7 linked regions of the Mus musculus genome follow. The protein of the gene in region 7 interacts with the protein of the main gene of each other region in a biochemical or structural test. Links are inferred from orthologs where the notes say so. Each region holds a gene or a part of one and is shown on either strand. Other genes may lie near its edges.

Region 1 (4,231 bases), on a different chromosome or scaffold from region 7:
ATGCCAGTCTTAATGAGGGAGTTACACCTACTGCCTCAGGGAACCTTCTCAGGATTCCCTGCTTGCTTAACTTGTTGTAAGTCGGGGTATTGGGGAGGTGGATGGAACATGCTGGCTGAGGGGCAGAAGTGGGATAACCTCCATTCCAGAGGAACCTGCCTGAAACAGGATTGGTTGAAATCAGTCAGGAGCTTTGGCCAGATGGGATTTCTGGAGAAAATAAATTGATAAAAAGAGCCAAGTTCTTCTCTGATGACTCAAGAGTTGTATTCACCTTCTAGAAGCAAAAAAAAAAAAAAAAAAAAAAAAAAAAAAAAAAAAAAAAAGCATTTGTTTATTACCTAGCCAATTGGAGTGCCTTGCCAGACCCTGGCAGCATCGACCAATTGCAGGGTGGTTATTTCACCAGAATGGGGCCCTACATACTTGAGCCTCTCCTATCGGAGGAGCTGATATATAACATGTAGCCAGCCCTTGTCTGCAGCTGAGCATAGGGCTCAGCTCAGTCTCTAAGCCACCTTCAGCCCCTCTCATCCCCACATACCCTTAGCTGTGCCTGCACACCCTAGCCAGTATGTGCTCCAGCTAACGTCTATCTTGCTGAGGGAAAAATGCCTACCTTTCTCTGATGTGTCACTATGCTAACATGAGCCCCTCTGGTTGCTCCCTTACCCTGAGGACAGTGTTGGGACCTGTCTATGGGCTGAACAGACTGTTCTCTTATCTCTCCTACACTGGAAAAACTTGAACACTCACTATCTTTCTTCCCAGAGCTCCACCTGGCCCTTATAGAAAAACTGAATCCACCCTGTGTCATAAACTGTTAGCGTGTTTCACTCTTTTCTTACCAGGAAAAGCCTCTGCGAGGGCTTAGCCTTGAGACCAAAATTTGGTGCCAGATAACTGCTGTAGGTTTCCAAATTTTCATACCACTGAAGGCTGAGTGTTCTAAGAGACCTTTTATCAGCCTGTCTTTCTGGATTGTAAATGTCTGTGTTGGGAGTAGAAGGTGCACAAGCAAGCCATGTTTCAGCCCCCTTGGGTCTAGATTCCTTTTCTGATTCTTCTCACATCTTACAGGTAAGGCCAGACTAATGTATCCTATAGGTCAGTCAGCCCATGAAGGGGAGGAGCATTAGAGGTTATAACCTTTTATATGCGAGTTCCTTGAGTTATTTTGTGTGCCTTGATTTGGAAGAAATAAGGCTTAAAGATGATGTTTCTGAGATAAATCCTCTACATTCCCAGCCAGCAGGCCTACCCAGGGCTTCCCATGAGCCTGGATACTGAGCTCAGGCCTCAGTTCTCAGTTCCGTTCAGCCACCAACTGTCATTTAAACCCTTCTTCTCGAGAGTACCTTGCAGATCCTGGATCCTCATGGCTGTTCTAATTGTTCCTTTTTGTCTTTTTTTTGCATCTCTATTCCAGAGGCCTAGCCCTCATCGTTATCCAGGGAGCCCTCCTCTTTTTCCTGACGCCAGCCTACCATCGTAATTGCTGATTGTTGCTAAGGTTGCTTCCATGGTAACATGCTTATCCTGTTTACACTTCTATATGGACAAGAAGTCTAAACTAGGAACCTACCTACTCTGGACAACCATTCCCATCTCCACCCAGAGGACACCAATCATCGTGACACCACGTCCATCTTTTACTAAGTTCCCCCAACCTCTTCCTCTTCTCACTAGTAGACTTAATACAGAAGCAAGGATCTAGGCCGGGTGTTGCTACTCTGAAACTTATTGCACGAGATATTGTCAATTTATCCCCTAACTGACCTCCCAGAGAAGAAAGAAGTGGGAAGAAACGGCGAATAGAAGGCAAGAGACACTGATCAGTTAGAGGGGAAACTCTACATCTTCTCTGGTTGAGAGTCTGGTAACTGAAGAAGGCAAAATGACGAATCCACCAGGACAAAGCGTGTCAGCCAACACAGTGGCTGAGAGCCATGAAGGGGAGTTTGGCTGCACCTTAATGGACCTGCGAAAGCTCATGGAGCTTCGTGGAGCTGATGCAGTGGCCCAGATCAGTGCCCACTACGGAGGGGTACAGGAAATCTGCACTAGACTGAAAACCTCCCCTATAGAAGGTAAAGGCCATTTCAAGGGTTGGGGATTGGGGGCAGTGAGTAGGATTTTGAAATATTTTTGTCTAGCTTCTAGGGAAAGTCCGGTTCTGGAGATCCAATAAGTTGTGTCTGGTCTGGTGGGGAGAGCACAGACCTCTAAAGCCGAGGTGGCCACTGAGGGAGGGCATGAAGAGCTTTCCTCCTCTACCACGTTTAGGAACTGTGATCTCTGAGTCATTCTCTCCTCCTACTTCTGTGTCGGTCCATCGTATGGAGGGTCCTTATTTATTATGTAGATGCACTTATCAGTATAGTCAATGTCCTCACTTAATTAGATTTTGATTACAGAAGAGCTTAAGATGGACATCTTCCTCACACTGATCTTAAAGCTCAATGGATGAGAAAAGACGACAGGAAGTAGTATTCCAGCCATCTGAGTACCTTACTGTACACAGAAATGGGTTGGCATATCATAAATATGTATTTGGATAAATTAATATTTTCTGTCTTGGAGTTTCTGATTTTTTTTAACCCTGTCTAATAAAAATTTTTCCCCACCATGTAGGGTCCAAACCCAGGGCTTTGTACAGCGCCCCGACATTAATCTGTAGCCTCAGCCCACTGTTTTGCTTTTTAATTTAAGACAGATTCTCAGTACATTGCCCAGAGTGGACTTGAGCTCACTCTACAGTACAGGCAGGATGTCAGGTTATGATGTTACAGGCCAGGCATATATCTTATAAGCTCTGAGTTCAGGTATTTGAAATAATGTTTATAGCTAGCCTGTAGAGTTACTGGGATTAAGTAGTACAGTGCATATGCACACATGTGTGTTTGTGTGTGCATGTGAGAACTGATAATAGGTGTTGAATAAACTGAATATAGGCCATATGCCTGGAGATTTTCCTAGGGTGTGAATGCCCATGAGTTTCAAAGAAACATAATCTCTACTCTGGTTAAGGTATGTGTGACTGCAGCTGCTGTCTGTTCCCTGTGCTCCCTGTCATCTCTGAGGCCTGATTTTAGGGTGACAGTGCTTAGTTGCTCACAGTCAGTCCCCTGGGCCTTCCAGCTTGTGTCTAATACTGCCTTTTGGATACTGTCCACTTCCTGCTAGTTGAAGTTTTATTATTGGTGATGGTGGTGGTGGTTTTATTATTTGCTTATTGAAACAAGGTTTCACTCAGTAGCCCAGGCTGGTCTCAAACTCAAATGAATCATCCCATCTCAGCCTGCCATGCACAAGAACTTATCATCGGCATGCGCTGCCACCCCCACCACCCCCTACTGTGTTTGTTTCCCTGGGACAGTCTCACTCTGCCAACAAGGCTGACCTGGAATTTGGTGTCCTCCTGCTTTAGTTTTTCTAAGTGCCAGGATTACAAGCATGCACCACCACACCTGTCCCCTGAGTGACTTTCTCAGGGACTTCTACAGAGTATAGGCTGTAAGGAAAACCTGTACCTTCTTGTGCTTTCCTGAGACGATGCAGGTGTTTACAGACCTCCATCAGAAGGGAAGCTGAATCTTTCTGTTTTCCTCCTTTTATATTTCTTTGACAAAGAGGAACTTGGGGATCCAGTAAGCTAGAACCTGGGGGGCTCCTCAAAACAGGATCCATACTTTCCTTCCATCTCTCTAACCCTCTCATATAGCTATGACAAATAGCCTTCTCTAAGAAGCCAGCCTGTTGCCAGAAGACCATTCGCAGATGCCTCTCAACCTCATAGGATTTTGTCACCTATGGGAGGCTCCTGCAGATTAATAATGGGAATAAAGATACGGGAGTGAATCTAGATTCTAGTTAGAAACCAATATGAAATAAGTTTGAGTAGACTGGCGTTGGGGAGCATTGTGCTTAAAACCCTTCTTACGCAGGAGCTGAGAGGAGACTCTCATGAGCCTGGACATTTGAAGCTGGCATGGCTGGGGAGGGGAGTGGTAGTAGTAAGGAAAATAGAGCACCCCTTTATCCTTTTATTTTTGCTTGGATTGATAACATGCTTAGTGTAGATAGAACTCTTTAAATCATAGCTCATAAGGAGCCTTATAGGAGCTTGAGAGTTTTGACACTAACGTGATTTTGTTAGCCTCCGTTTATACAATTCTAGAGGCAGATATGACTTAGTTTTTAATTAATTTTTCTCACTTTTTATTGGTTA
Region 2 (4,256 bases), on a different chromosome or scaffold from region 7:
TCCGAGATGCCTCCTCATCTCCTCACCCAAACTGCCCGGTCATTGGTCATTTCCATTGTGTGGCATGGGTTTGAATCGGCACCCCTTGCACCCCTCGGAGGACTGGAAAGAACTCTCCCAGCTCAGAATGGCTCTACTCTCTCCCAATCCTGTTCCTTTCCGGGAAGTCAGCATTTGTAGAGCAGCATGCAAAGCTGCTGTCCTGTCCTCATCTCCCACACTGGGCTGGGAGTGTTAGGATTGCTCTTGTGCTCTGTGTATTCAGATGCCCCAAGAGTTCTGTGCCCCAAGATCAGGTTGCAGTCTGGACATGGGCAGCGTATTGACCAATGTGCTGTGGAGAATGCTCCCCAATAACTTCTGATTGGATAGTAAAAGGCTAAAGCCTGTGACTGGGCAGGAAAGAGAGGAAGGTGGAACTTGAGATGAGTAGGGGTATCTCCAGTAGGTACCAGGAAAAGGAAAAAGGCAGGGGAAGGAAGAGGCCTGCCTTGAGGCAGGATGGTCTGGGAGGATGGACCATGAGCACGTGGCCGAGAGAAAATCGCTGAGGACACTCATGGGGCAGAGCAAACACAGCAAGACTCAGTTGGCAAGTAATGTGGCGTCTATAGTTAGGATGTTATAGCAATCTCAGAACCTGCCCGGTTTAAACTTACAGCTTGTTAATAAAAACACCAGGTTTCTTTGCCCCCCCCCCCGCCCCCCAGGGAGCTATACAGGCTAGAGTGGAGCAGAAATCCCCCCATAAAAATCACTTCTATAGGAGTTGAGGGGCGACAGAGCAGGGCTGTGTCAGTGCCTGTATCTGACTTTGTTGCAGGGCCCCGACCACAGGGGAAAACGGAAGTTCAGGGAGGTTGACAGCCTTGCCCAAGATCCCCGGTCAGTCCAAGGTGCCTGAGTCTTCCTAACTAGGGAAGACAGCTGCCACAGCCACACAATAGCCCAGGCTGAGGCACGAGCAAGGTATGGTGGTTTGGATGGGGCGAAAGTCCGAAGTAGGCAGGCGGCAGGAGCCCTGTGTGCATGAGGTGTGGTGGGGGCGTGTGCCACCCGGCAGAAGGCGCAGGCCAGAAGGCCAGGGTCTGGAGGGCAAAAGGTCCCAGTCTCGGAGATAGCGAGGACATTGCCACTCTCTTGCAGGAATCATGGAAGGAGCCCACAGTCTTGGGAGGGGATAAATGGAGGGTAGAATGGGAAGCAGAGGTGGGTAGTCACGGCCCAAGGGCGCGGAAGAGAACAGTGAGAAGGTCTGCGTTGGGTGGGGCCCGGGCCCCGGGCGCCTATAGAGCGAGTGCCAGCCTGGTCTCCCTGTTAAGTGGAGATGGCATTGTCCGCGCCGTCGGGGAACAGCGGCCAGGGCGCCCCCTCCGGCAGCGGCGCGGGGTCCGGGTGGGGAGGGCAGGGGCGGCGCCAGGCAGCGGTGACGTGCGCGGGGGACGTGCCGCGCGACGGATGAGAGCACTTAAAGTCGCCCCCGGCGCGGCGCCGGGCAGCCAAGGCGGACAGAGGCAGATACAGCGGCTGGCGGTAACAGGTAGGCGCGGCGAGATGCTTGGCGCGCGGAGCGAGGCTGGGACCCTCCCCCCGCCTCCAGTCGCCCAAGGTTTGGGGCCTTCGATCATCAGGCGGGGGATCCAGACCTGGAGCTCCCGGCCCCTGACCCTCTCTCCTCCTGGTTCTCCAGCCCCATTCTTTCTTGACTTGGAGAACCTTCTCACCACTGCGGCTCCACCAAAGGGCCATGAACAGCCAGTTGCGCGCTTGCATCCTGCTTCCCTGCCCTCGTAGACGCCTATCTATCCATCCGGTAGCCCTCGGGGGCTGGGCTTCGTCCAGGAGGGCAGCTGCCCTGGGCGACCAAACGTCCAGAGTATAAATAGCTCGGCCCAAGAGGGTTGGAGCGTGGCCGGACGGCCGGGGAACCTGGGCTATATTTGGTGGGAATGCTACAGCCTCCTTGGAACCCCGAATCTCCAGCGGGCGTCAGCAGGCCGCCCAGTGAGAGAGAGGGACACGTGCGCTTCGGAATGGTGCCACGTTGGGGGAGGTATGCCCTCGGGTCTCTTTCATCTCTTTACATCCACCTTTTCTACCATCTTAAACTCATCAACTCTTACCCAGCCACCACTATTAACCCAAACTAGGCACATGAAAGTGGGGTTTTCCTCCGGAGTGGGCTCTGTTTGCTCTATTCTCATCCGATAGGAAAACCAGGCACGGTCTGTTTTCTTACCTGACAAGTGGGTTGACTAGGCGCCTGCCTGGATGCTGGTCCAGTCAACAGACAGGCTCAAGAAACTGTTAACTCTGGACAGCTGATAGTGCTTGGAATCTGGGTGACAAGCAAGGAGAGGGCAGCAGGGCCCAGGCCGACAGGAACCCTTTCAGGACAACAGGTTGGTCTGAGCGTAACGGCAAGGTTCTCCCCATAACACAGGCTCATTAGCTTTCCCAAAGTTCTTCTGTTGGGAGCAGGTTATCCCCGAGGGCTCCCGGCATCATTGTACAGGCCCAAAGTTGGCTGGTGTCCCGTGGGTGCTGGGTCCGTCCGTGTTGAGGAACGAGGACAGTCCTAAAAGTGTGTGGACTCACTCAGGATGAGCAGTGACTAGTGCACAGCTAGGATGCTGTGCAAAGGATGAGTCTACCCCTTAAGGGGCACTGAGGACACTACCGAGATACATGTGGCCCCTTCTTGGCAAGGACTTTGAATAACCAGTGGTTTGGTTCCAAGATGGACTTGGCCACATCACCAGTGACCTTGGGCAGGGCTTGCTCCCCGTAAAAACGATCTCACTGCTTGGATGCCTAAATTTCGAGGGGCAGCGAGGAGAAAGCACAGTAGGCCTTAGAACCATCAAGAAGTAATGTTGAAGGGGCCAGTGCGTGGGACCCCACAGTATGCCGGTGTTCCGGGACTTTAGGACTCTAATCCTCCAGTGAACTGGTCAGAAAGGGGAGGGCTGGGGAGGCCCAGAAGCAGACACCTTTGGGCCCCATGCGGGACTTTCTGGATGGTGATGCTAAGCAATTAGAGACCTCTGGACCAGGCCTTGGTCCAGCTGGCACTGAGCACTGGCTCAGGGGCAGGTTAGGAATGGAGACCGCCCTAGCGGCAAGAGCAGACTTCTGGCCGTTGTTCCCATCAGTGGAATGGGCCATGAGGGGGTAGATGGATAATGAACTAGCCCATCTCAGCATCCCAGAGGTTCAGTCGCGCGCCCTCGCTCGCCTTCGTGAAGGGCAGAATGAACTGGCCCGCCTTGCAAGCTAATCTACGGGTGAGTCTTAGGTCTCTCAGGGCATTTGGCGCCGTGAGCTGCAAGTACGGTAGAAGCAGAGGACCGCCTACTCCAGGCAATACGGCAGCGGCTCCTCCCTTGGCGCGGTCACGTCCCCCACGTCCCGAGTCCGCTTGGGCGGAGCTTCCTTCCCTAACCCGACCCATTGAACCCCGCCCAGGTCGGCTGGACCACTATCTCCAGTCGGTTGCCGCCCTCTGATCCAAGCCCCACCCCCACTCATACTTCGGCCATCTCCAAACCTGTATCTCCTCTATGCCAGACAGTGATGGGAGTTGGAGGGCGCTTATGACTTCCGAGACTCCCTTTAGCTTTAATCTAGATTCTGGCTTTAGGGAGGAGGGCTGCATGAGAATCGAGGGCTCCGTAAGATGCTCTTGTGGAGGAGTGGACCGTGCAATGTTCAGCAGGGCCTTGGTGGAACTTTGCAAAGAAGGGTCTCCCACAGTAAGCCGGAGCAGGTCCCTAGGGCTGCCCCATTTTGTGACAGCCAAGGTTCCTCACAAGAAGGGGGATCTCAGGGCTGAGGTGGTGTGATGGTTGGTTCTGGGCAACTGTCTATTTTGGCAAACAAGGTCAGTATTTCTATCCCACGGATCCCTGCAAAGTTGATGTGAGCTGACAGGACAAAGCGCAGAGGAGCCAGGCACGCACTGCAGGCCTCCAGCTGCCCACGGTGGCCTCTCCAGAAACCACCCCCCTAGGGACTTTTCCATGGTATACCTTTGCACACGGGTGGGCTCAGAGAGGAGAGGCCCATTGCTACATTTTCCTTTTTTTTTTTTTTTTTTGTACAATGGTAGGGGGGGGGAGGAGGGAACTTGGAAGGGGGCCTTTTAGCAACCGTCTGCCCCTGCCACCCTGAGATACTGGGTGCTGGCCTCAACTGCCTTACTTGTTCTTTGGGGATCTGCAGCGCAACACAAGGGCTGTAGTTGCCTTAGTTCC
Region 3 (4,257 bases), on a different chromosome or scaffold from region 7:
ATCCTGGGTCCTCTAACCCCAACCTTCTTTTCAGTTGGCACTGCAGCACCTCTAACACCCACAGGCATTAGCTGTTGGTCATTGTTACTGTTGCTTTTTTGAGGTCATGTCCATAGGCACTTTGACTCCCCAGTGGTCAAAAGCCAGATCCTACCTAGGACTGGCCCTTCTTCCTCCTTCTCTGGCCACGGTTTACAAGCAAGGCTCAATAGACTACACACCCCTAGGTGTTACATGCTGTGTCAAGTCAAACAGCTAATAAAAGACATGGAGGGGGGCTGAAACCTATACTGCGATACCCTGGCTGGTGGTAGAGTCTGCCCACACCCTAATATAGATCCCTGGGCCTTCTCTTATTTTCCCCTTACTCATTTACTGCCCTGCCCCAACACACACACACACACACACACACACACACACACACACACAGTGTTAACAGGAGGATAGCTTTGGCAGTGTCTGCCTTAACCTTTGACCTCTCCTTGGCCTAATGACATGCACCTCCCGCTGGGCAAGGTCAATGCTCACAGGGTAAGATCTATGGCCTCCTTGTCTCAGTCTTGTGCCCTCCTGCTGTGGCTTCAATCCAAGTCTGAGGGGTGGGAACAGGACTGTGAGAGTCAACTTATAGATCGGCTCATCGCGACAGGGGCCAAAGAGAAACCTTAGATCCTGAGCTAAGTTCAACCCCTTAACCCGGAGCACCAGACTTCCCAGGCCAAACCAGAACTTCAACGAAAGTCCTAGAAAGAGGGGTGTAGGCTGGATGAGAGAGCGTTTTTTTTTTGTGGAAAGTGATGGTTGCCTTACAAGTCTGAGCTGGGCGGTAGAGAGAGAAAGTCCTGGCTAGTAGAAAGAGTCGTGACAGGACAACAGTCTTGGTTCAGGGTAGGTGATGGGGTATAGGAGTGGGTGTCTGCTCAAGCTGTCTTCTAGGCTTGCACTTGAAGGAGGGCAGCCGCCTGGCAGGGTATCAGGCGGCGCTAGGGCCTCGCAGAGTGACGAGGCGGTGATGGAGGCGGGCGGGGGCTGGCGGCGGGAGCTGAGCGGCGCCTAGCTGCCCCCATCCATGGCACGGAGCTGCGGCAGCGGCGGCGGCAGCAACAGGAGCCCGGCACGATCCGCTAGGTCTCAGCCGCGCGCAGGGCGAGCCGGCCACGCGCAGGGACCAAGCTTCCGTCGGCTCGGAGCGCTGCGCTGAGACTCCGGCCGCGCCGCCGGGGGCCACCCGCGCTGCGCTGTCAGCGGCGCCCGCGTCCCTCCCGGCCCGGGTGCTCGCAAGCCATGCCCCCGGAGCGCAGCAGCGGGGACCCCGAGGCTTGCCTCCGCCCATGGCCCCCCGCCCCGCCCTCGGGCGCCCGGGACTCCCGCTGAGCACTCCTCCCGCACGCCCGGGTCCCTCCGGCCGGCGAGCCGTCCGGCCCCTGCGCTGTAGGTCCCCGCGGGGCGATGGGTTGATGGGCGCGGGGGGACGCAGGATGCCGGTGCCTCCCGCGCGTTTGCTGCTGCTGCCGCTGCTGCCTTGTCTTCTGCTCCTGGCTCCTGGAACTCGGGGTGCGCCTGGCTGCCCGGTCCCTATCCGCGGTTGCAAGTGCTCTGGGGAGCGGCCCAAGGGACTAAGTGGCGGCGCCCACAACCCGGCTCGAAGGAGGGTGGTGTGCGGCGGTGGGGATCTCCCCGAACCTCCAGATCCCGGCCTTCTGCCAAACGGCACCATCACCTTGTGAGTACCTTAGTTTGTGCCGGGTATGGTCAATTAGTGGGACTTAAGTGGGGGGGGGGGGGGGGGCGACGATCTTGCCACTTGAGAGCCTGGGGAAAGTCTGAGTCCAGGCGACAACCGGGAAACTCGAAGTTCTAGGATCAGAGAAACCCCGGTATGGCCCCAGAGCGAGAGGCATCGCGGAAGCCTGCTCACCTGCACAGGTGAAGTGCGTGTGGACGGTGGAGGGACCACTCCGTGTCCCTTGTCCCAGATTGGCTAGTGTTGCAGCCTTACGAGGCCCTGAGCTGGGTGAGAGTGGGATCGGTGTCAGGGACCCATTAGGTGGCTGTGGTCCTCACCACCTTTGAGGCTTCGGAGCCCGCATGACAGGGAGCCTGCTGGTTTCAGCTAGCTAGCCTGGTTCCTCTAACTGGGATAACCCAGTCTGCGGTGCCCCGCCCCGGGCCTGCTGAGCTCTGCTCCCAGCCCGGCTTCTTGGGCAGGGGAGCCTGAGACCGCTAAGCCTGTCCTTGGAATGCAGGCGCTTCTGATCTGACCCCGTGCCCCATCTCCTCTTGGGCTCTCTCCCATTGCGCATATAGTTTGGCTGTTTATCGATTAACTTAATTACTCAACGATTTGGTAGGAAAACCTGACTGAAGGGAGGCACGTGCCTCCCGGCCTCCTTCCATAGTTCTCCCTTCAAATCGGGGCCTGATTAAACCCTTGCTTTCCTGGCCCGCGAGCACCTATGCTCTTTAACCCGAGTCTTAAGTCCCGGCAACCGCACTCGGAGAGCTTCCCGCACCCCAGCGGTTTCCTGAGCTGACCATATGCTCCAAGTTCCACGCGACGTGGTTTAAGGGTCGTGCCCCGGCGGCGGCTCCTTGCTTTCCTGTTCAGGATCTAGCCTAAAAGCCGCTTCCCCTTCCCTGTCATCCTGACCCTGGAGAGAACCTTTTCTCCAAACCACCCCTCGCCCAGGGCTGGGGCTGGTTTCATGATTGTACCCAGAACAATACAGTAAGTCCTGTGGCGGGTTCAGAGGCAGCTGGCTTCCTGACAGGACACAACTGGTCAGCTTGTGATGTTGGCCGGCTGGCTTGCATTTTCTCCATCCAGCTGGGCTGTGTGCCTCGCAGTGGAGACTGGATCTCTTCTCTCTCCCACCTCGATGCAAGCTCTGGCTTGCAGCCCTAGTGGCTGCTAAGGCGGTTCACAGTAGGTCTGAGTGTCATGATGTTTAAGGGTGCTGAAAAACTTGGGCATTCCCCAGCTTACTTAGTTCTGGAGGAGGGAGGAAAAAAAAAAAGTGCTTTGCTGTGAGAAATAGCTGGCCAGCGTTTGTGACACACAGCTGCACCGTGATAGCTCGCTCGCTCGGCTGGGGGTGGAGGTGATTTGTGTATGGGCACATGTTCCAGAGGCTCAGCGAACTCACATGTGTGGGAGCTGTCTCTTGTGTGTCTGTTGGTGGGGATTAGGGAATCCTAACATGGTCAAGGCAGAAGGGAAGGGAGGGGGAAAAAATAGAAAAGTGGTTTTGCAGGACATCTTAGACTGATTTGGCCACTAATGCTTTCCAGCCACGGCTAATTCCCATCTACGCCACTCAGAGGAGCGGGACCAGTTCTTGGTGAGAACATATCGTGGCAAAGTAGCAGCAGACTTGGCTTAAGCCCTTCCTGCTCCAGCCTTAAGCCCTTCCCTAAGGAAGGGCTCCTCTCTCCTCTGGGCCATTCACCTAGCTGGCTTACAGTACCTTCCAAAGAGACTGGTCCCCAGCCTGGCAGGACCCTGGAAAGGACAAGGGAGCCCAGTCACCCACCAGTCTGGAGTGTAATGGAATCTGAATCTCCCTCCAGATGTTTTTCTCAATTTTCCACATTTATGATCCTGATGGGTCGCCACCCAGCAGTCTCTGAAGTTAAAAAAAAAAAAATCAAACTAGGATCTCAGTGGAAGGTAGGAAGGGGACTCAGTCCAAGCACACTGTCATAGCTCATCTTGAAATGAGACAGGAAGGCTGGAAAGGGGCTGCTGCTTCCAAGGAAGAGCATGGAACCCCCTTACTTTTTAAAAATCATATTTATTGATATTTTATATGTTTGGGTGGTGTTGCCTGCATGTATGTCTGTGTGAGGGTGGCCGGTCTTGGCGCTATAGACAGTTGTTAGCGGCCGTGTGGTTGCTCAAGTCCTCTGGAAGAGCAGTCAGTGCTCTTAACCCACAGAGCCATCTCTCCAGGACTGGGAGCCCCCTTATAAGTGGGGAGTTTTGCTAGGTGTGGGGTTGGTGCTTGTAATCCTGGGGGAGGACATTGAGTTCCAAGCCATTCTGGGCTACACAGGGAGATCCTGTCTCAAACAAAACAAGACATTAGTCTTTTTCCCACACAGATTCCCCCTCTCCCCCCCCCTTTTTTTTTTTTGCTTGTCATCAGGTAGAGCATCAGGACTTGAGCCAGCTGTTTGTGCCTTGTGGCTGTGTCCTCCCTCTTAGACATTTGCTACAGTCCCCTTCCAGAATGGGTCCCCAGCTTCCAGCCACAG
Region 4 (4,100 bases), on a different chromosome or scaffold from region 7:
TGGAAGCCAGTATTCTGCTAGCAGCCTTCAGATGAAGATATAGAACTCTCAGCTCTTCCTGTACCATGCCTGCCTGGATGCTGCCATGTTCCTGCCTTGATGATAATGGACTGAATCTGTATTCCAGCCCCAATTAAATATTGTCCTTATAAGGGCTGTCTCTTTCATGGTGTCTGTTCACAGCAGTAAAACCCTAAAACAGAATTTTTCTAAATTGACATAAAACTAGCCATCATTGTTCTATATTTCATATTTTATGCTTTCAGTTAAAATCACAATGTTTTGTTTTACTATATACCTCTTATTTTTAATTTTCTTTTATTTTCAAGATTATAATATAATCACACCATTTTCTCCCTTCTCTTTTCTCCTTCCCAACTCTCTCCTATACCCCTTCTTGCTATCTTTCACATTCATGGACTCTTTTTATTAATTATTGTTACATAGTCAATATGTAACAATATGTTATACATATATGTTCCTAAATACACAAATACAGCCAGCTCAGTCTGTATGATGTTATTTGTATGTTTTCAGGGCTAGCTGTTAGTATTGGCTAACCAATGGTATTCCCTGAAGAAGACCATTTCTTTATCGGCTGAATGCAGTCTTCACAGTTAATCAGTTATATTTAGACATCTCCCAGTCATTCATTTAGATTGCCTTTAATTTTTCTATTATACACAACATCATTAATATCTCCCTGTATACAAGAGAGACTACATTTAAGACCATTAGCGATATTTAAAATCAGAGAACGTTTTTATTTACCAATCTTCACATAATAACCTGAGCAGGGTCCCTTGTTTCATGCTGCACGTTTTGCAGTCTTGCAAGCAGAGAAAGCAGCCCTTTCCATTCGGTAAAGCGACTGTGTCCTACTTACTGAAAGACAGGAGTACATAACTAGATTTCACTGGTTCTCTAGAGACATCCTGGAGAACAAAGTATTGTCTTTGGCAATTGGGAATATATTCCACATGTATAACTTAGTGTTTATACGTCCAACTGCCTCTTGCTTTGGGGTCAATACCTTCATCCTGTCTAACGCTAAACAACAACAAATGATAAACAGCTTCCGATCCATTTTCCTGCCCTGCAAGTGAAAGTTCTAGTGAATAGAGACTGCCTTTCAGGAGTAAGGTGTGTAGTTAAAATAAATCCCCAAATTCCTAACTTTCACCTTACCACTTTCCCTTTGTCACTGGAGCTCCTAAAAGTTTGGTATGAAGTCTTCTGATTAGGGCGGGACTCCACGTAGCCTAGCAACCGCTTCCCACTCTCTGATTGGCCGATCTCTGGGCAGCCGCCATTTTCAAATCCCCGGATGACGGCGGTAGCCGCTCTCTGCTAGAAGGCGACTTGCTGCCTCGCAGAAGCTGGCGGGCATTGTGCCCGCCACGATCGGTCTCCTGGGCACTGGGCCACCGCCCCACCAACCCCCCTTCTCCGGACATGGAGCCAGAGCCGGCGGCTCAGAAGCAGCCCCGACCTCGGAGGAGAAGCCGCAGGGTCTCAATGCTCAGCGAGGAACCTGCCGCGGGGCTTCCGGCCGACACACCCGGGCCGGCGGCGAACGAGAGGTGAGGGTGGCGGGAGGTGGGTGAGAGCCGGGGACCGAGTCTGGAGACTCAGGACGGGATGGACTGGACGGTGGGTGACCAAGGACTGGCAGTGCAGTAGGGGAGGTTGGGGAAGGCCGGGCAGAAATGCCGCGGGAGGAGAGTGCGCTGCCCGGCGGGCTGCACCGAGGGCTGCACAGCGACTGCTCGGCCCTGCGTAGAAGGGGTGGACTCGTTGGACTTGTTGACAATCTCCTTTAACCCCGTCCCTGGGGAACCGTACATCTGCACCAGAGCTGTTCTCTACCAGAAACTAGTTGTGGATGCAGGCGCTCAGATCAAGACTGTCGTGGACCCTGTGATGAGAAGAGGAATTGTCACCTGAACAGATACCAACCCTTTCAGCCTAAAAGCGGCTGTTCAAATGAAATGTCCTTTGCAGACCAGAACAGGACAGGCTCCTGGAATGAAGAGATCAGAGAAAGACTCTTTCTGGCTTTTCAGTTATTAGCACATTTTCACATTCTGTGTTGTATCTTCATTTCTATGTGTCTGGGAAAGGCAAACACTAGGTTGATTTCAGAAATCTGTGTCTGGAAGAGAGGCTGTGGGAGTCATAATATTTTTATTAAATAGGAAATTGAAATGGCATTTGTCTGGACTACTCTGTCATTCTTTTGCCCTTCGAAATATGAGAAATGGTCTCAAAGTACTGAATGCAATGGTTTCCCATTATAACGTTAGACATTGAGTTACAAAGTATGTAACTTTGTTCAAATCTACGTCTACATAGTGAGTTTATGATAGTGTCTGCCTCATATAAGGCACTGTGTGAACATCAGTACTTATCATGGGCCTCGGCAGAAAACTCGGCAGAAATCTTGTCTGTCAGTTTTAAATCTGTTAAAGTAACAGTGCTGTGTCTGCTCCATCTTTTCAGACATCCCCATGGTCCACTTGACATGATTTCAGGGTTTTTTTGGTTTTGTTTCTGAGACAAGTTCTCACTGTGTAACTTGGTTACCCCAGAACTCACTACCTGTGTAGAGACGCTGGCCACAAACTCATATTGTACTTCTGTACCAGAGCTGTTCTCCATGGAAACTGGTGGACTGTAGGTGGTCTTACATCCATAGGACTATTGGTGAGAAGAGGAATTGTCACCAAGCAGGCTCCAAACCGTTCTGCCTAAAAACTGGTCTTTCTTCCTTAGCCTCCCCCTGTTCTCGGATTGCAGTGTGAACCTCGACGCCCAGGTCATTTGATAGGATGTTAAATTAATCTTTTATATAGCTTATAATCTAATCATGACAAATGGTTTTGAGGAAAAAGCAAACACCTTACTTTCATTATCAAGGCATGGGCAAACCCATTGTATTAAGTAACTCTATAAAGAGCTAGATTCTTTCAGTTAGTACTGATTTTTATGAGTTTGAAGTTTAAGGCAATATTTACCAGAATTCTTGCCTTCTGAAACTTCCTCTCTTCCAATCAGACCGTGTGTTTAAGAAGTCAGAGTGCAGAAAGAAGGCATCTTTGAGACTGAGAATTACAAGAATTAGGATGGGCTAGTGAAGGAGCAGAAAAGGAGGACTTCCTGAAGATGAACAGAAGCAGTGCTTCATTCCACGTGTGCTCAGTGTAATACAGTTGCACCTGCCCTAGCATCAGACACTGTTGAGGATGATGGGGATTCAGGTGAACAAAAGCAGATGGAGCGCTTGCTCTCAGGAACCTTAGATTCTCTTGGGAGGCGTTGGTCACATCATGCAGTGAATTTAAGCCTTTTTGATTCTGTGCAGAAGAGGAAAGATTCTAGGGCCCAGAGTTGGTAGATGACTCCAAGGAAACAGTATCCTCCAGACATAAGAGCACTGATGCACATCTAAACTTACAGAGATTGAAGGAATGCACAAGACCTGCAACAGGTTCAAACCAGACAAGATCCTAGCACTGAGAATGGGAGAGTTGACACACCATCCCACTCAGAACCAAGAAGCTGTTTGCAATTGATACCTCCTGGGAAAAGGAAAATTGTTGTTTTGTTTTGTTCCAGTGGAGTATTGGTATATCAACCACACTCCAGAGCAAGGCCCATGCCCAGGTGTCTTGGTCACTGATCCATTTTTGTGAAGAGACACCATAATCGAGGCAAAACTTAAAGAAAAGGTTTAACTGAGCCTGGCTTACAGTTTCAGAGGGTAGTCCATTATTATCATCATCATGGGACGCATGTAAGCAGACATGGTGCTAGAGAAGTAGCCAGAGCGCTTTATCCCCATCTGCAGGCAGAAGACAGTCTGACAGGGCCTGGCATGGGCTTTTGAAACCCCAAAATTCATCCCCAGTGACATACTCCTTCAACAAGGCCACACCTCTTAATCCTTCTAATCCTTTTCAAGAGTTTGCATTCAAATATATAAGCCTATAGGTGTTGTCTTATTTTCAAAACTTACTTTAATAAGGGTTCTTAAATGCTTCAACCTCCATTCTAACCTACCACCCACCAGAAGTAATGAAAAGGTTAATAGGGCAAAG
Region 5 (3,500 bases), on a different chromosome or scaffold from region 7:
TAACAGACGAAATCAGTGTCCAACTGTACACAAGCCATAACTAGGCCACCCTTGAAAGAGTCCTTATCTGTAAACTGAGTGACCCAGTGACAAGTGACAACCCTGGATACCTCAGCAATCACCTCCTGGGGACCTTCGAACTGGCTACTCCCTCTCTCCCATGTATGCACGTGACTTCCTCTCTCCAAGTCTGTAATTAAACAGTGCTTTAGAGAAATCCCAAATTAAAGTAGCACCCCGTCCGTCATCATCTCCGTACATTGCTTGTAACATTTCGCACTGGATAGCACATGCTTGCCTGCTTGCTCACTGTGTCTCCCAGTAGGGTGAAAGCCCCCTCGGGGCCAGACATCTATTTTATTCATTTTTCTGTCCCCAGTTCACCCCACTTCTTGGGTGAGTTAAGTATTTGAATTTTTGTTTTGTTTTTGTTAAGAGAGGGAGAGAACATGAGAGAGGGTAGGGAGGGGGGAGGATCTGAGAGGAGTTGGAGGAGGGAAAAATAATACCAAAATATATTCTGTGGAAAGAAGAATCATTTTAAAAGCCTCCGGTGTTCTTCCCTGTCCATTCAGCCGGCGGCTGACCAGGAAGGGGCTCGTAGGTAGTTGGCTGGCTCTGTCTGTCTCTGTCTCTCTGTCTCGTGGGGGGGGGGGTGTGAGAGACAGACAGAGACAGAGACAGACAGAGAGAGGGGTTAAAAATTTAAAGTAATCCAGGCTTCCGCAGCCTAGGCTTTGAGATCCTTGAGTGCTTCAGGCTAGGACATGAGAATTCCTATGCTCTGAAATCGGTCTCTGCACCTGCTTCTCAAGGCATTCCTCTGCCCTTCCGGGCTTTAGCCTCAGCATATTCTTTATTCTTTTTGTCCCAGTCTCCGTAACACACTCCAAACTCGGTTTGTTCTTTTGCTTGCTTTGTCTTTTCCCCTCCTCAGAGTGATGTGGCGGGTGGCAAAGCGCCCTTCACAATGCCTGGAAACATTCACGCCGGCCCCTTCCCTCCTATGTCTTATGGGTCCCCTTCAGAGACCCTGTCTGTCTACTGGATCCCCAGGGACCCTGCTCTCTTTCCCAGGCGTGGTCCTCAGGGTGAGCAGCAAACGCTGGTCAAGCCGAAGGTTACTGGACAGCGGGGACCCCAGTGGGGTGGTCTGGGGACTGGCGGTGTGCTGGGCAGCGCTGTTGGAGGCCCTGACATGCCGCCTGCTCCCTGCTGGGTCTGTGCCCTCCTTCCTTTCATTTTTCCGGCCCCTGGAGCTCCTAGCGGTGGACTGAAACCCTAGTGCCAATTCAGCAGCTAAGTGCATCAGTGGAGCCCGGCCGCAGCTCCTGATTGGCCCCCATACGCTTGACTCCGCCCTCCCCCGCACTGCCCCACCCACAGGTCCCAGTGTGGATGCTCTCTGAAAGAAGCTGGTGCCTTTGTTGCCTACCCGTTCGTTCCACCTCTCTTCTCCAGTCTTGCAGCTTTTCAAAGATTTTGATGCTCCAGGATTTTCTGAGCTTTTAATATAAAGGTCGCTATATCCCCGTTGTCACTTCAGAAGCTTTCTGTGAGCGTCGGGGACAGGCGCAAGGAACATGGCGCAGAGAGGAGGGAGCACCAGCCAGATATTGGCAAAAGGCAGATGCCGGCCAGAGACCTCTGTGGAGCAGTGGAAGCTTATGGCTGGCCTCAGAAGCCCAGGGTTCAAAATCTACCCCGCCTCTTGGGTCGACCCCTGTGCATTCCTGAGCCTTCAGTGTTCCTTCTCTTTAAAGCAGGGAGTTAGCGTCCAAATGGGCAGGTGGTGTAAGACCAGAATAGATTTTAGGTTATTTAAGGGAAGACCCTAGGACATTCGCCATTCTGCTTCGCCCACCATCACATGGGTCCTGCTCCTCCCTGGATGAGCAGTGGGCGGAGTCAGAGCTCTAAATAGGGTCTTTAAAATGGGGGACATTGAGGGATGGCGTTTCCGGCGGGAGACTCCTTCAGGTGGAGCCTCACTGCTCTAGCTGGTCTTGATATCAAATGGTGCTAACTGCCCTTAGGTCCTTTCTGCCTCTAGCCTTCGAGAAGTGTATTGGGGGACTGTTAAAAGTAAGGAAATAGGCAGGTGCTTCTGTCTTTGGCAGAAGGTATGTTAGGCGTTTCCTTCCCTGGACCCTGACAGCAGTGCATTTAACCTCCACGGTGCTGGGCGAATGCATGAGCCCCTCTGAAGAAAGCGTCCTTGCCAACAGCAGGAGATCTGAAGCCAGCCCGGACTGTCTTTCTTTGCTCTGCTCTGGAACTCAGTCTCCCAAGTGCTGTAGTAGCGAATTTGCGCTCCTGTATTGGCTGAGCTGATATTCCTGCTGAGGTTTTGCTTTTTCTGCCTTTACTGGGACTGAGGATAGACAGAACTCCAGAGAGGTTTCTGTCTACCTGGGACCTTGCTTTTTTTTTTTTTTTTTTTTTTTTCTCACTGTTGTCTCTGTTCCTAGGCCTGCAGTGCAATGCCTCCGTGGACCTCATTGGCACCTGCTGGCCCAGGAGCCCTGCAGGGCAGTTGGTGGTTCGGCCCTGCCCTGCCTTTTTCTACGGTGTCCGCTACAACACCACAAGTAAGGAAGAAGGGAGAGAGTGGGCTACTGGGGTAGAGTGGCGGCAGTTTGGTGGTGGAAGAAATAGCCACCATCACCCCTAGGGCCAGCTTTGCTCTGGGCTGATTCTTGCAGAGAAAACACCTTCTATATAACCAAGGTGCCTGGACTCAGAGAAGTTAGGGAATTTGCCCAAGTCACCAGCCAACAGTGGGTGAAGCTGGGATACTGACCCTTTCTTCTGTAGTTGTAGGTTGACAAACTTCTGGTTAGTCCCATTGGTGGGTAATTGTCCTAACAGGACAAGGAATTTTCATGGAGACAGGGCACCTGGAGGGCCCAATCCACGATTGAAAGTGACTTGTATCCAAGTATCCCAGGCCTGCAGCTGTGGTGGGGGCGGGGCAGGACTGACCCATGGACTGAGCAGATACTGGATCCCCATGTAAACACCTTGCTCCCTGGAGGCCCAGCCTTCATGCCAGGCTTTGCAGCTCCTTGCTATAGCATCTGCCACCCTCAGAATTAATTTGCTTTCTCCTGCCAATGACTCAGGTTCCTGCTATCAAGAGAAAAACAGATGGAGCCCAGGGGCCGTTGACATGCAAAGGAGGTTGGGTTCTGGGTCCCTGGGGTCCCTGGGGGCTAGGAGCTCCTGTGTGAGTCCCGAAAGTGTGATAGGTCATCCCCAAGCTCCAAACAGGTGCCAAAAGTGATCAGAGGCCACGTGACCCACGTCAAGACTCACTGGGTGACCTCAGTATGTTCTCCCTCCTTGTGGCCCTCCAGCTTCCCCATCTGAGGTTTAGAGGGCTGAGGACCTCTTCCCACTCCAAACTCCCAAACCTCTCCTCCCATCCCTCCATCATTTACTAGATGGCTGAAGGGGGTAAGATTAGGAATATAGACAGGATGGTTTGAGAGGGTGGC
Region 6 (3,500 bases), on a different chromosome or scaffold from region 7:
CTTTATGTGTTTGTAATCAGGAATGGGTGCTTGTGGTAAAAGGGCAAAAAAGGAAACTTGGTGTGGCAGTCTCTACCAATAAACACTGCACTCAAAATCAGGCAAAATTGGTGCATATACAAGGACAATATAGTGGTAAACAGTGAGTTCCAGGCCAGCCTGTACTAGAGAATAAGACTGTCTGGAAAAGGAAAGGAGCAGTCAAAGGGGGGGGGGATGGGACATGTCAGCATTCAATCCCAGCACAGAAAGATCTCTGAGTTTGAGGCTAGCCTGGAACACCAAGCTCTGGAACAGCTAGGACTACATAAGTATGTAGAGAGAGACCATATTTCAACACACATGGAAATGTCTTTCTCCTTTCCCCCTGCCACTTAGAAATTGTGATAGAGTTCTAACTTCTACTAAGATCATGGAATCTTAGTGTATCATCGAACTTTAAACCTATTCAGCAAATATTTTACATATATTTTCAACTTTAATGACTTAACTACCTTAATCAGAGACTACAAATTAGATGGATGTTCTGTCCTTAAAACACATGAGTGTGAATGTAATTTGTGATGTTTTTGTTTTGTTTCCAGACAAAAGCTAACTTTGTGGTAAAAGGTCCTAAGTAAAAGTTTTGTCCTCTTGCTTGATCTTTTTTCCTGTATTGACAGATCTGGAAAGGTGCCTGGCTCTCGAGGGCAAGTTTTAAATCCCTGGCCACCTAGTTTGCCTTTGTAGTCTATTGGGTCAGGTGAGCAGAGACCAAGATCTTACAGTGATATGACCATGGACAAAACTGGAAGCTCAGTTTTCTTTTCTATAAAATGGGTCACTGGGGGGGGGGGCGCTAGGTAACACTGCCTTTTACACTAGCAGAGGGTTCCATCTCCTTTGCAAACTGTTGTATTTCCGTATTGAGGCAGTGTCCCAGCATGTGTGGTACTGCCTTTAGCTCAGTAAGTCAGTCATTGTGAGCTGTGCTGCTCCCTGGAGTGGTGGCCATGTTCCTGGGTATATTGTGGCTTCAGCACCTCCATTTCCTTATCCAGTCAAGTTGGCTGGTGTCTATTCTGCCGTTTTGTCACAACTGGTTATAAAGCTTTGAGTTATTAGCTGGAAGAAGCTTTTTTCAGTCGTTAAAACATTTACAGAAATGTAATGCAGCATCATTACTTTATATAAAATACCTTTTCTAGTCTGTTCTATATTAACTCACCATCAGTTTAACTCTAGTAAAAGTACACTGTTTTCTAGATTTGAAACTGTAAACGTGAATTTGGTTGAATGTTGTTTGAAAATCATGTTTTAATGTAAATATTTCACTTTGGAATTAATTTCCTATATATACTATGTTAATTTATATATGTGTATATATACATATGTGTGTGTATGTATATATACACTATATCTTCCATATAATTTTGATAGAATTCTACAATATGTTAGAGAGTAACATGCTTAACTAAATACCTGTAATCATTTTAAAATTATTTATTTTATGTGTATGGATGCATGTGTGTCTGTGTCAATACATGCCTGGTGCCCACAGATGCCAGAAAAGGGCATTGGAATCTTTGGGACTTGAGTTACAGAAAATTGTGAATGGTCACATGGACAATGGGAACACGAACCTAGTTCCTGTAAAGAGGTGCTATTGCTCTTAACCACTGAGCTGTCTCTCTAGACCTAACATCTCTGATCTTAAAGTTTTAGTAAAAGGTTGATTAACTCATCTAAAACCAACCTAGAACCTAATCTTATTTTCTGTTTTGTCTATTATTGATTCTTACGTTAAGTAGAAAGGCAACCAAATAGTTTAAAACATTGGGGTGCATATCTATAATTTCAGCACTTGGGAGGTAGAGGCTGGAGCATGGGGAGTTCAAGGCTATCCTCAGCTACATAGTGATTTGAGGCTGTCTGGGCTGTACATGAGAGACTGATTTTAAAAATGACATCTATATTATATCTATATATTCCTACCCAGGACACTTTTTTCTCATTAGGAGTCTGTGTTTAAAGGGTTTTAACCACACTGTTTCTTTTAGTCCTACAGGGTCACATGTTGAATGGTGTAAACAGCTTATAGCTGCTACAATTTCTAGTCAGATTTCAGGTTCAGTGACATCAGAAAATGTGTCAAGAGATTACAAGGTAAGCGGCATTGAGTGTTTAATTCATTATTATATAGAATAGCTGATTCGTAGCCAAGAATGTTGTAGTTTAGTTCATGTGAGCTTTTGACCACTTAATTTTTATTGTCCTTTGGAGGTGGTGAGGACAAAGGTTCTCTAGTGTTCAATCTGAAATACAGATAGATAGAGATAGAAATATAGATAGAGATAGAAAGTTCTACCTATTTTTCTTATTTGTGGTTTTATAATTAACATAAAGAATGTCCTAAGGTTTTGATCAATTTTTTTTTAAAAAATCAAGCTCTATTTTATGAGAAATGTATAGTGGGCATAATAGTGCATGCTTGTAAGGCCAATACTACTTACAAGGGAGTTAGAGGCCAGCCCATTGTCCATAGAGAAACTTCAAGGCCAGAGGAGGTTACCAAGTGAGATTTCCCATCGAACAGCAGGCAAACAAAAAGAAACATGTTTGCTTTTTTTGTTACTGTTTTATGTAGCAATCAAACCTGGATGCCAGCACTGTACTTCACAAACATGGTTTTGTATTTAGGCATTGCACTTGCATAGTCATCATTAGCAAGGATACTACAATTCTAAACCATTTACAGGGCTCAAAACAGGACAGCCTCATTGTTTTATGCCTTACTGGAGTGATAAACTTTTGTTTTAAAAGTTGGATTCTCTGCATTTTCTAAGGTTAAGAGTGAGGCTTCAAAAAAAAAAAAAAAAAAGCCGGGCGGTGGTGGCACATGCCTTTAATCTCAGCACTTGGGAGGCAGAGGCAGGCAGATTTCTGAGTTTGAGGCCAGCCTGGTCTACAGAGTGAGTTTCAGGACAGCCAGGGCTACACAGAAAAACCCTGTCTCGAAAAAAACAAAACAAACAAACAAACAAACAAACAAGGCTTCTTGTTGGCATAGACTGTTTTCTAGCACTGTTCTAGTTCTTAACAGATAGGTGGCGCTTGCCTTTAATCCCAGTCTACACAGAGAAGCCCTGTCTCGGAAAAAAAAAAAAAAAAACCAAACAAACAAACAACCAAACAAACAAACAAAAAAATAGTCATTGAATGAATCAACTAGCAAAAATCTCAGATGTTCCATCTTTGTTCAGGCTATAAACTAGAATTTAATTCCAGTATGCTGTTAACAGATACACAGTGAAACTGCTTTGATATGTTCTTTGTGTTTGCTTGAGGGGGTTTTTTTGTTTGTTTTGTTGTTGTTGTTGTTGTTTTTGCCTGGCAGGCATGGTGAATACATTCCCTTTTCAGTGAGTAGCTCTTAGAAGATGGCAAATCTCACAAATAGTTCAAGAGCTTCAGCCAACATCCTAAGCTTGCCTAAGATTACCAAAGTTAATAGAAATCCT
Region 7 (4,280 bases):
TCCTCTATGCAATGTGGCTTTTACTGTTGATCAAGACCCCAGCATGCCTAATGCAACAAATCAAAAAAAGTCTGCTTGCCAACCTGCTTGTTCGAACTCATTGCGGAAAGCGCCCTGGGTTGGAGCTAGGAGAGCCGAGTTGTGCGCTGTGGCCACTGATCCGCTTATATATCACGGGGAACGTTTTTCTTTCACTTTCTGAAAGGAGGTAGATCTACCTGAGCTCTAAAGTCCTAAGGTTCTCACAAGTTAGGATTCTAAGGTACAAGCCAAAAGTGAAACCCAGTCATCAGCATACTTGGGTTATGGCTATCGTGCAAGGTTCTTCTCTGACTTTTCCATTGTCAAGGACACAGAAAAGGCCTGTCAGGTTTATTGAAAAACCAAAAAACCCCTCATCTTTCTCCCCCTTTAATTAAAACACAAGTACCGGTAGATTGATTTTAAATGTGTCTGTGCATGGAGGTTAAAGGACAAACAGGAGGCTCTCTCCTTCCACCATGTGGGACCCAGGGATGGAATTCAGGTTATCAGGCTCATAGGCAAGAACCTTAACCAAGCGAATCATCTTCAAGCTGGATCCAAGCAGATCCAGCCTTACGGTTTGACACACATGGATCTCTGCATTTCTGGTTCTGCTTCAAGAACTTCTGACGACTTTGGAAAAATTCTCCTGGGCTATGGAGCAGAGAAGTTCCTGCTGCTCAAAAGCAGCTCGAGTCAGTGACTTGGAGAACTTTCCCCTTCAGGCTCAGTTCTAGAGCAAGTGTCCCTTGGGACTGTTTGTTGGGCTGTGAGGTGCTTGAAATTTAAACTAGGTGTGAGGGCTGGCAGCGAGAGGCTTGCTTTCTTTGTTTTCCACCTGAGACAGGGTTTCTTCTCTGTGTAGTCCTAGCTGTTCTGGAACTCACTGTTCTGGATGGCCTCGAACTCACAAAGATTAGCCTTACTTAGCCTTTCTGGGATTAAAGTCCTGTGCCACCACCGCTGGGGTAGACAGGTGAGTTTCTTAAAGGGACCGCCATAAGATGGGTAACTCCTGGGAGCATCTCTGGGCGGGGACACATTCATGAACGCACAAATGAATGCAGGCATGAATGAATGAAATATTAACGACTGAACTTTTCACTTGTTTAAACGGCTCGTACTAGGAGTTAACCACTTAGACCTAAAAATCCTCTGAAACCCTCAAACGTTTAGCAAACTAATCCGTCTCCGCTTTACATCCGGTCCTTAATGAAACTCCTCAAACCTTTTTTTTTTTTTTTTTTTTTGTTTTTCTGGACAAACGAATAATTTAAAAACCAGCAAAAAGTGGAAGACATACAATACCCCTTCCCCTCCTAAGTCCCTTCTTCCTCCGCCCCTTAACGCGGGTGACTGGTGCGCAGCTCCGCACAAATTCCTTTTTCCCTGTTGGGGATCCACCCCGGGCGTGCCAGGCACTCTTCCTTTCTTGAAGTTGGCCAGCACGTGTTCAGTGAGGTGAGGGGTGTCTTGAGCTTGTTTCTTGGGATCTAGCGCAGGTGAGGTCACTTCTCTCTTTCAAAGTCTCCAGCAACTCGAGTCCGGCGCGCTAGTTCAGAACCGCAGGCCACCGGAGGTGGGCTAGGGCAACGTGCAGGCTTGCTGTCCCAAAGCCACTTCGGGCCACCTGTAGAGCGCGTGTCAACTCCTTTGTCCCCAGAGCCGCTTCCACCGGAGCTCCTCTCCGCAAGGCGCTTCCCTGTGGATGCTTAAGGGTCCTCCTTCCAGTACTCCAGCCCCCTCCCCGCCCTCCTCCCGGCCCTCCTCCCTTCTCCAACCCCGGTAGCAGCGCCCGGAGCCCGGGGCTCGGAGCGAGCCGCCTCCTCACTTCTCATTGGCTGAGAGCGTCGGGGAAAGCAGTCACGTGGGCGCGCGGCAGGCCAGCTCCAGGGCCGCCATCTTGGCGGAAAGTTTAGGGGGAGAGCGACTGGGGGCGCGGAAGGAGGCGAGGTTCCGGGGGTGGGGCGGCCCGGAGGCGAGCGGACGAGCAGGGGCCGCGGGCCGCGGCGAGCGGGCGAGCGGCGGCGGCCGAGGCGGAGAGAGCGGCGCGGGGGTGCGGCCGCCGAAGGGGGAGCTCCTCCCCCGTCCCCTCACCCCCTCAGCTGAGCTCGGGGCGGGGCGGGGTACGTGGAGCGGGGCCGGGCGGGGAAGCTGCTCCGAGTCCGGCCGGAGCGCACCCGGGGCGCCCGCGTACGCCGCTCGCGGGAACTTTGCGGCGGAGCCGCAGGTGTGGAGGCCGCGGAGGGGGGTGCATGAGCGGCGCGGAGAGCGGCGGCTGTCCGGTCCGGCCCCTGCTGGAGTCGCCGCCGGGAGGAGACGAACGAGGAACCAGGCAAGCGAGAGGAGGGGGCCCGAGCGGGCCGGGGGAGCAGCCGGGCGCTCGGCTGGGCGCTGCGCGGCTGGGCACGGGCCGGCCCGCGGCAGCAGGTGGGGAGCGTGGCAAGCACGCCTTGGCGGCGGCGGCGGCCGCGGCGGCCGGGCTTCTCCTCTTCAGGTGCTCTTTGCGGAGGGGGGAGCTCTGGAGGCACCTACCGAAGCGGGCTTGGGTCTGATCTTAATCTGTAGGGGGCATAGCGACCCCCGAGAACTCGCTTTCCGCTTTGGCTGACACTGCTGGGGGTTTGAGGCTTCTGCTTTTTTTCCACTTGGGAAAACTTTGGAAGGTGGGCAGTTCCACCAAGGTTGGAGTTTTTCCCTAGTCGAGAGTTTGGGGCGGGGGATGGGGTCGGGTAGGGTGGGGTGAAGTGGGGTGGGGCGGGGGCAACGAATGGATCCACGATTCAGTTCATTGCATTAGTTCAAGTTTTCCTTCCTGTTTTGTGTTTGTAAAGGTGTGTGCCGCCTTCCTGATTCTGGAGAAAAATGCCGGTCCGGAAGCAAGGTGAGAATTTATTTTGGAACTGTTTTGTGGCTGTCACTTGCTGTAACATACATCAGTGTTGTGGTTACTGTTTTTAAAAGGTTTGTGTGACTTTGAGGAATCAGCAGGCTCTCGCTTTTATTCCTTATGGTATCAGAGCTTCCCATCATTTCAGAAGGTGGAAACATCTAGTTGGTTGCACACACCTTCTTGACATCTGTAGTCATTACAGAAGCAATCAACAGAAGCAATCTGCCCCCTACCATGTCTTTTTCAAAACTTCATTGCTTCAGTATTTCACTTTATCACTCATATCAACACTATTTTGTGAGCAACTCTGTGAGCAACTAGGAATTAATGTTTTGAAACACGTTTTGGTTATAGGAACAAATTGTAGATAACTTGTTCTTGTCTGTTAGGCATTCTAAAAACCAAGTTGCTATCAGTTTAGTTAGACGGTCTTTTAGTCTTGGAAGCTGTCAGTCCACAGCTAACACAGGCTACTCACTTTCTCCTTTCTCTGCTGTGATATAAAGCCTTTAAAATATTTGTCTTAGTAGGGAATGGAATATGGATATAGTGATGGCAGCCCTTGCCTTGGAGGCTCAGGGGAACTTATAGATGTCTTGTAGAGGTAGCGTGTAGCACTCTCATGTAAATATGTATGCAGATACACACAGAGCCTTAATATATACATGAAATTTTCACCGTATTTGTCTTTTCAGATACCCAGAGAGCATTGCATCTGTTGGAAGAATATCGATCGAAACTAAGCCAAACTGAAGACAGACAACTCAGAAGTTCCATAGAGCGGGTTATTAACATATTTCAGAGCAACCTCTTTCAGGCTTTAATAGGTGGGAGTTAAAACTTTTCTACTCTTGACCACTGTACTAGTGCCTGATGCTTCTCTGTTATGTTAAACTTAGAATTTGAAAGACAATGTGTTTGGCTCTCTAGATGGTCCTTAACTTAGGACATCTCTAGTGATTTTTTATTTTGCAGTTAGGCCACTGTCACTTCTAAAAATGTTTAATTATCAGAAAAACTTCTGGTCTGGTGATTTCTGTGCACTTTGAGAGCACAGTTTCATGTCTTAGAGTTAACAGCTGGAATATGGACAAGTTGTAGAAATGTTTTAGGACACCAGTCGTGACAACTGAACTACTGTTGGTGTTTTTGTAGTTGGCGTGTGTTTCTCTGGAATCCTTGGAAATATTTGAAAGGCTCTGCTGCTGTGCTTGAGAGCATTTGCCTCTCTGACACACACACACACACACACACACACACACACACACCCTCTGTTAGAGTTGCCATTTGTGGAATATGAATTTTAGACCTGAAACATGATCTCAGAGATGATGCTGTCTAATTACCTTATTCTAGTATTCCT

What was found.
Region 1: the proteins of Dlg1 (region 7) and Atp2b4 form a complex in vitro, tested with the Homo sapiens proteins (2 studies listed by BioGRID and IntAct, with this or other methods). The link is inferred for Mus musculus from reciprocal best matches to the Homo sapiens genes DLG1 and ATP2B4.
Region 2: the proteins of Dlg1 (region 7) and Slc16a3 interact in a test that uses a peptide from one of them, tested with the Homo sapiens proteins (2 studies listed by IntAct, with this or other methods). The link is inferred for Mus musculus from reciprocal best matches to the Homo sapiens genes DLG1 and SLC16A3.
Region 3: the proteins of Dlg1 (region 7) and Adgra2 form a complex in vitro, tested with the Homo sapiens proteins (2 studies listed by BioGRID and IntAct, with this or other methods). The link is inferred for Mus musculus from reciprocal best matches to the Homo sapiens genes DLG1 and ADGRA2.
Region 4: the proteins of Dlg1 (region 7) and Net1 form a complex in vitro, tested with the Homo sapiens proteins (3 studies listed by BioGRID and IntAct, with this or other methods). The link is inferred for Mus musculus from reciprocal best matches to the Homo sapiens genes DLG1 and NET1.
Region 5: the proteins of Dlg1 (region 7) and Crhr1 form a complex in vitro, tested with the Homo sapiens proteins (3 studies listed by BioGRID and IntAct, with this or other methods). The link is inferred for Mus musculus from reciprocal best matches to the Homo sapiens genes DLG1 and CRHR1.
Region 6: the proteins of Dlg1 (region 7) and Mtmr1 interact in a test that uses a peptide from one of them, tested with the Homo sapiens proteins (2 studies listed by IntAct, with this or other methods). The link is inferred for Mus musculus from reciprocal best matches to the Homo sapiens genes DLG1 and MTMR1.

The regions. Positions count from the first base shown.
Region 1 is NC_000067.6:133,750,948-133,755,178, reverse strand, and holds the start of Atp2b4 (plasma membrane calcium-transporting ATPase 4), read left to right. Parts: upstream 1-1,431; 5' UTR 1,432-1,897; coding exon 1,898-2,090; intron 2,091-4,231. UniProt on the Homo sapiens protein: Calcium/calmodulin-regulated and magnesium-dependent enzyme that catalyzes the hydrolysis of ATP coupled with the transport of calcium out of the cell. By regulating sperm cell calcium homeostasis, may play a role in sperm motility.
Region 2 is NC_000077.6:120,947,611-120,951,866, forward strand, and holds the start of Slc16a3 (monocarboxylate transporter 4), read left to right. Parts: upstream 1-1,456; 5' UTR 1,457-1,540; intron 1,541-2,235; exon of another isoform or gene 2,236-2,402; intron 2,403-3,106; exon of another isoform or gene 3,107-3,883; intron 3,884-4,256. UniProt on the Homo sapiens protein: Proton-dependent transporter of monocarboxylates such as L-lactate and pyruvate. Plays a predominant role in L-lactate efflux from highly glycolytic cells.
Region 3 is NC_000074.6:27,084,489-27,088,745, forward strand, and holds the start of Adgra2 (adhesion G protein-coupled receptor A2 precursor), read left to right. Parts: upstream 1-1,457; coding exon 1,458-1,723; intron 1,724-1,780; exon of another isoform or gene 1,781-4,062; intron 4,063-4,257.
Region 4 is NC_000079.6:3,915,421-3,919,520, reverse strand, and holds the start of Net1 (neuroepithelial cell-transforming gene 1 protein), read left to right. Parts: upstream 1-1,300; 5' UTR 1,301-1,455; coding exon 1,456-1,583; intron 1,584-4,100. UniProt on the Homo sapiens protein: Acts as a guanine nucleotide exchange factor (GEF) for RhoA GTPase. May be involved in activation of the SAPK/JNK pathway Stimulates genotoxic stress-induced RHOB activity in breast cancer cells leading to their cell death.
Region 5 is NC_000077.6:104,156,781-104,160,280, forward strand, and holds part of Crhr1 (corticotropin-releasing factor receptor 1 isoform 1 precursor), read left to right. Parts: intron 1-1,435; exon of another isoform or gene 1,436-1,943; intron 1,944-2,471; coding exon 2,472-2,591; intron 2,592-3,500.
Region 6 is NC_000086.7:71,367,760-71,371,259, forward strand, and holds part of Mtmr1 (myotubularin-related protein 1), read left to right. Parts: intron 1-2,039; coding exon 2,040-2,145; intron 2,146-3,500. UniProt on the Homo sapiens protein: Lipid phosphatase that specifically dephosphorylates the D-3 position of phosphatidylinositol 3-phosphate, generating phosphatidylinositol. Could also dephosphorylate phosphatidylinositol 3,5-bisphosphate to produce phosphatidylinositol 5-phosphate.
Region 7 is NC_000082.6:31,661,963-31,666,242, forward strand, and holds the start of Dlg1 (disks large homolog 1), read left to right. Parts: upstream 1-1,480; 5' UTR 1,481-1,526; intron 1,527-1,972; exon of another isoform or gene 1,973-2,359; intron 2,360-2,858; 5' UTR 2,859-2,889; coding exon 2,890-2,908; intron 2,909-3,612; coding exon 3,613-3,744; intron 3,745-4,280. UniProt on the Homo sapiens protein: Essential multidomain scaffolding protein required for normal development. Recruits channels, receptors and signaling molecules to discrete plasma membrane domains in polarized cells.